Linked DNA regions of Coturnix japonica. The protein of the gene in region 1 purifies or fractionates together with the protein of each later gene. This does not show direct contact. Links are inferred from orthologs where the notes say so. Each region holds a gene or a part of one and is shown on either strand. Other genes may lie near its edges.

Region 1 (4,441 bases):
CTGGAGCAGTCTGCGACTATTCCTTTGGAAACTCCGTGCTTGCTCGTTTCTAAGAAGAGTCTTTGCTGACCCTCTTCTCAGCCAACCGTGTACTTGTGATAGATCTGTCCGCATTCTTTGGCATCTGTCCCGCATTCCTCTGCAATAGCTGACACTTGTCCCTGCTAGCGACAGCTCTCCAGCTCTGTTGGAGCTGCTGCTGCCTCCAGGCTCCTAGAGAAAGCCTTATGCCATCAGCGCTGCCCCTCCACACACCCAGCCAGCAACGGCATTTGCACAATGGTCTTCACACACGCTTCGTCGAGGGACCCTGGTCTTGGGCTGGTGAGTGATGTTGGATCCATGTATGACCAGGTGATCCTTGCTCGGTAACTTTTCCAATCATTAGCACGACCTTCCGCTGGCCAGTTCTGTAAAACTAATGGCACAACCACCTGAAAAGTCTCAGAAGCGTCCCCCACAACACTCGTCACTGCGGTATTAAGAAAGGGCTTTTGCCTTCAGCTGCACATGGCCACGAACACATTCATCTGTAATGTAGGGGCCCTTCCCCAGAGTACGCAGCGAGGCTGAGGCCTGGACACGAACACCCTGACGTCATACGCCACCATCAGCCGCTTCTGCCCCCAGGGCACTCTCCTCACTTGCCTTCGCCTGTGCCCGCATGCGCCCCCAGTGATTTCTTCAGGGACTATTCAGTCCAGCAACCCAACCAATGGAGCGCACACATTGTAGCGTACAGCTCATCTGATTATTTCTGCTGACTGCGATCGCAAACATTGCAAGAAATTGTAAAGATACACAACTGCCTCTACATAACATTCCATGTAGCTGTAGTGGTTGTAATCGATGGCTCCATCTTCTGCTTCCCTAGACCCTTAACCTTGGTATTGGTTTCCCTTGTTGTTTTTATTCTCTTTTAGGAGATGCGCAAAGCGATTCCACAAGCCTGTTAATGCCAGTTGGAAAATTTAGAATGCCCCAACCATTTTAGAAGCTTCATAATTTCTTTTAAGAGCAGGAAGGCTGTTTCTATTTGAGAAAGGACAACAGACAAACCCTTCGGCTTTATCTACCAATAAAAGGACTTTAGCGTTCGTGTGTTTCTTTTCCCCTTTTCCTATATTCCAATCTTACCCTAGGTGCCGGAGAAAGTCGTAGAGTGTGTGCCCAGCCCATGAGGAGTGCGTGCTGTAGATTCCTTGGTTACCAGTCAAGCTCCCCATCCTCCATTTCCTATCCTGCAGCAGATGGAGACACTGGTGCGTGCCCTTATTGGAGGCCGAGAGGGACAAAATTCCATGCCTCCATTTCGAGCGAGGCTCCCCTTTAACTTTCCAGGCGAAGGGACACGTGTGTTATAATTCACTGCCCCACCTTATCACCAGTGTTTATTCTGTGGACCTCGCCTTTTGATAAAATGCCTGATCCCCAGGAGGCCTTGAGGCGATCTGTGGGCCTCGAGAAGAGAAGGAGAATGTTCGAGAGTCTCATATAGATGTTTATTTATCTAGGACTCCAGCCCAGCCAAGAAGCTCCTGGTGGCGTAAAAGCCGGAATCAATGGAAGTTTTTCCATTGCTGACTCGCACAAAGTTTACTGGGGGATTCAGACCATTTCGCAGATAGTCTGATATAGCGCGTGAGAGTAGATTCTGGCCGACATTACAATTCGGTCCCCCTGGCGGATTGTAACCAGTGCGTATCTTTTGTGTTGTTTGTCGTGTGTTAAATTCTGCTCAACTCAGTTTAACCTCTGTGACGCTTCTAATAAGTGATATAAGCTATATCCTTACTCTTGCACCGCCATATGTGACCCCCCCTCCATTAACTGGCAGGCGAACTGTTAACACCGCTTTCGTTGTAATACCTCCTCCGTAAATGCGAAGGGGCTCGTCACTGACTCGTCAGCTCTTTGAAGCCCCCCGGCCCCCACCACCGTAGAGGTGTAATTTCATGAACCAGGCCCTTCAGCTAGAGATAAACCGGCTCGCCAGTTTCAACAGCAAGTATGCCTTTATATGAATGTAAAATTATAAGGAAAGAAAAAAAACACCACTGGACATTCCTGTCGCATATGGCTACTCGTGAAAAAACAGGAACACCATGTAGGCAAACCGGCTATGGGATCTCTGCACTCCCGAAAGGACTCGGAGGTACTCCGAAACCGACGCCCGATGTGTATCGCAGCACCACAAGGCCATATTGGATGATGGGCACTGGGATGGGATAATATGGGATGATCGGATATGATGGGATATGGGATGGGATGGAGGAGAGCTCAGCCTGCCCCACAGATCCCACAACACCCCACAGCTGTGGGGCAGCAGCTCCGATCCCAGCCCCTTCCAGCAGCTGATGCAAAAGGTGTCAAAGTGCTGCAGGAGCGTCACCTCCCCTGATTATGCCGATCCTCCCTGTTAATGGCCCAGCAGTCCGACCTGTTATGGCCGAGTCCGCCCTTATGGCTAGTCCTGCCCTGTTATGGGACGAGTTCTCCCTTATGGGCACATACCTACACCCAACACCAGGACCAAGTGTAACCATGTCAACTCTGGTTATAGGGAATCCAAGGAAGACCCAGAAGCAGCCCCCATAGAAACCAGACTAGAATGCCTCCAGGAGCCTATAGCAGCCCCATAGTGACTAATGGGTCCATAGGGCCTATAGCAGCCCCACTGCGGCCCAGCACCCACCGGACCCCATCAGCAAACCCAACATATCCCCAGCCCACATCGCCCCCAATTTCCCAACCCATGCACCATCCCATCCACATCGCCCAATCCACATTACCCATTACCCATCCCCACCACCCCCTCTCACCGCCTCCACGACCCGGCCGGGAAACCCGGAAGTAGCGGCTGTAAGCCCCGCCTCCTCGTGACGTCATCACGCAAAGGGGGCGATGCTAAGAGAGGCCACTCCCAACATAGAGTGGGCCGGGAACTTGAGAGAGAATTGGCGCGCTCTGGGCGGGAAAAGGGCACGTGGGTGAGAGATGGGTGTAAATAGAGCTGAGTGTGTATGGACACATGGACACCATAGAGAGCACCATATAGACCACCCCTAAGATAGAATACCCTATAGAATACCCTATAGAACACCCATAGAAATCCCATATAAGTGAGAACACACATAGCCACACCCCAACTATTAAACCACCCCATAGACCACCCCATAGAACACCCTATAGCACACCCCATAGAACAGAACACCCTATAGACCACCCCATAGCACACCCCATAGACTCACCCCATAGAATCACCCCATAGAATCACCCCATAGAATCACCCCATAGAATCAATCACCCCATAGCAACCCACTTAATCACCCATAGACGCGACCCATAGAAACACCGCTTAGACACCCATAGAGACCCACCCAACATAAACAGAACACCTTATAGAGCACCCCATAGAGCACCCCATAGAACACCCTACAGATCACCCTATAGCACACCCCATAGAACACCCTATAGAAAACCCTATAGAACACCCTATAGCACACCCTATTGCACACCCTATAGACCACCCCAAAGACCACCCCATAGCACACCCCATAGACCACCCCATAGAACACCCTATAGCACACCCTATAGAGCACCCCATAGAACACCCCATAGAACACCCCATAGAACACCCCATAGCACACCCAATTAGTAGCTACACCCTATAGAACACCCTATAGAACACACACCCTATATTATTATTATAGCACACCCCATAGCACACCCCATAGCACACCCTATAGAACACCCCATAGCACACCCTATAGCACACCCTATAGACCCCCTTACAGATCCCCCCATATCACACACACCCCATAGAACACCAATATCCTTTAATATCAAACCCAGCGGCTCCATCCACCCCATAACTCAGCACATCCCCCCCCACTGATCCCCATGGCCCCTCCCTCCATTCCGGGGCTCTATGGGGTGGATCCATCGGGGCTGTGGGATCACGGAGCCCCTTTGCTGCCTTTGGGGTCGGCTGTGGCCGCCGTCCCGTCCCGTTTTGGCCCGGCCCCATTGAGCAGCTCTTCATCCTCCTCCTCCTCGTCCCCCGGTTCCCGGTACAGCTGCTGGATCGAATCCTTCTGCAGCTCATTCAGGGGCAGGTAAAGATCCCGCAGCCACTGGGGATCGTCCTTACTGCGATCGGAGCCCTGAGAGCAGCGGGGAATGGGGACGGCTCAGTGTGGGGCGGCTATGGGGCAGCTATGGGTCAGCTATGGGTCAGCTATGGGTCAGCTATGGGTCAGCTATGGGTCAGCTATGGGTCAGCTATGGGTCAGCTGTGGGGCAGCTATGGGGCGGCTATGGGGCGGCTATGGGTCAGCTATGGGGCAGCTATGGGTCAGCTATGGGGCAGCTATGGGTCAGCTATGGGTCAGCTATGGGGCAGCCATGGGCAGCTATGGGGCGGCTATGGGGCGGCTAT
Region 2 (2,499 bases), on another chromosome or scaffold:
TCTCCTGGTCAAACTACTATTTCTCAAGATGCCTAGCATCTATATTGGTATTTCTTATCCTTAGCAGAATGTACATCTTCAAAAATGATATATTGAATTTCTAGTTTCAAGACTAACTTCAGAAATGTTCTTAAAGTGTTGTAAAAAGCATATCACATAGAAGCTTATAGCCTGAAAGTTCAGTCTAAATCGCAATACAAATTTAAACAAAATTTGATGGGATCTGCTTTGATTCATGATTCTGACAATCTTTGAGGATATGCATGTTGACTAATTAAAGTTGCTTTCCATTCCACATACCTCAATACAGGAAATAAAATAATCAAACATGAGTAAAGAAGAAGAAAGTAAGTCTGGGTTTACTACAATCAAAAGGTTCAGATTAGACTCCATTCCCAAATAAGAGTTCATAAGCAAGCTTTGCACAAGAGACTACAATTTATACAGCAATTATCAAGGGAGAGTATTACACGTTTCTATGAATAGCAGCAAACAGTGGATCCTCTAAAAATAAAAAATAGCCTCTTTTTCTTCCAGAAAAGCATCCTACCTGAGGGAAGTATTGGAGACAGGCATGATTCACAGATATTTTCCTCTGGAAAAAAAAAAAAGAGAGAGAAAAAAAAAAACTGAAGTAAAAACTAAAACAGGCATTTACACATTGCAATTACAGAAATGGATCCTACAGTATTTACTTGAGATACTCACCACAGACCATGGGAAATTAGAGAGAAACTCTAAAGCAGCATTTCTGTTAACAGCAGGAAAAATGTACAGATTCTCTGACTTTGGTGCAGGAAGAACTGCAGGAGCTAGACCAATATCAGAGCAGTAGACACATAAGGCAAACTCAAATAAAAAAGGAAGCATAAGATGGGTTCCTGACTTCTCTGCTGTATTTTTCCAGCAGAAGCTCTGATCTTCTGTCTTTCTATCAGCTCCTGGTATTAACCTGTGCAAATCACAGAACTCCTCATGCACGTCAGTAGAGCCTCACAAAATATTTTCAACCATTTTTAAAAACTATCTTGTTGCAGAATACTTGACTATCTGTTTTGGCACCAAAAAGCATTTTCCATCTTTACAGACAAATTGCAGGATGCAATATGTAATATATTGAGCAAACACAAAGCTACATGATGAATCTTGTCTCTACAAATAAGATCTACAGTCTACAAAAGAAAAAGTAATACTCAGGTTTTCCAGCAGCTTTCTAAATGGACTGTGACATGGCTTAGGTTTATAACCACAGAAAAGACTTCGAGTCACCACATTTCCCCTGTACCCACCATCTACCAGAACACCCTTCATTTGAGTTCGATGCATTTTCTTTAGCAAAGAAAGAGAGTCAGCAACAAGAATCTTCTTGCAGCCTTCCCGCAGCAAGATCTGTTATGCAAAGAACACAAAGTACAGAAAATGTTAAACAGGTAACACTTTCCTTGATTTTTTGGTTTGTTCTCACTCCTGCTACCTGAAATGTAAAGCAGAACAACATGCATTGGATGGGAAAAATGATAGGAGTTTACACATGATTGATGAAAGACAGGCTGGGCATAATAGGAGAAAACATTCCCACACAGTCAAACATTTTACTATTGCTGAAGAGTACGGGAACTTCCCCAGGTTCAGAACTGATTTTTTTCTTGTTCCTCCAGTGAAGAAGATGCTCTTGTACAGGAGCTCCAGTTAAATACCGTTCGCTTCCAGAAAAAAATTAAAAAAAGATTTTATTCCAACTGAATCCTAACTTTCAGCAGAAAAAAAACCATCTTGTAGTTTTCAGAATTTAAAAGGACTGTTGGACAAAATAAAGGCAATATAGCTGGTGGTTGCTCTTATCTATGTAAATACAAGATCAGTTTGTAAAGTCACACTGACAACAACTTTTCAGTTACAAAGAGCTATGTTTTGATTCTGTGTTTTTGGAAGCACTTTTAAATGCAAGCAGTAGAGCTGGAAATCACTAAGCTTTTCTCAGGATATCAATACGACTTAGGCCAATTTGGTTAGCTGGCCATAGTTTGAATGATAATTAGTTACACTGAAAATGCTGACTGGAGAAAGGTGATTTATTTGCTGTTAAATAGAAAATGCGCTAGAAACATGCCACATCAATAAACTACAGGTTCCTTTTTAAGACAGCCTATATTCAAGAGTTTACAAAGCCAAACTAAGCAGCTTGTGGTCTATTTCATCTATAAATTTATGGCACTGAAGAATTAGATTTTGGGAGTTAGAAATAAAAAAAATAAGTTAGACCACACTTGATAAACACTGTTAAAATGCAAACAATTCTAACTTTATCTTTACTGTCCACGTAATCATAACTTTGTTGATGAACGTTACTATACATAAACACTAAAATTGCTATTACAGCTCTGTTATGGTATTAATCTATTAACTTCAATAATGACTAGCAGAAAATTATCAAAATGTTTCTCAGGAAGGGAAGAAAAACAAAAAAAGGCAATAACCACTTGCAGTTTTAACCCAATT

What was found. The genes of interacting proteins can lie anywhere in the genome.
Region 2: the proteins of PLEKHM1 (region 1) and VPS41 purify together in Homo sapiens (affinity purification with western blotting; 4 studies listed by BioGRID and IntAct, with this or other methods). This does not show direct contact. The link is inferred for Coturnix japonica from reciprocal best matches to the Homo sapiens genes PLEKHM1 and VPS41.

Annotation. Positions count from the first base shown.
Region 1 is NC_029542.1:1,138,059-1,142,499, forward strand, and holds the start of PLEKHM1 (pleckstrin homology domain-containing family M member 1), read right to left. Parts: upstream 2,905-4,441; 5' UTR 2,823-2,904; intron 1-2,822. Other genes in the region: leucine-rich repeat-containing protein 37A-like, read right to left, coding at 3,960-4,166. UniProt on the Homo sapiens protein: Acts as a multivalent adapter protein that regulates Rab7-dependent and HOPS complex-dependent fusion events in the endolysosomal system and couples autophagic and the endocytic trafficking pathways.
Region 2 is NC_029517.1:77,293,892-77,296,390, reverse strand, and holds part of VPS41 (vacuolar protein sorting-associated protein 41 homolog), read right to left. Parts: intron 1,390-2,499; coding exon 1,290-1,389; intron 596-1,289; coding exon 551-595; intron 1-550. UniProt on the Homo sapiens protein: Plays a role in vesicle-mediated protein trafficking to lysosomal compartments including the endocytic membrane transport and autophagic pathways. Acts as a component of the HOPS endosomal tethering complex.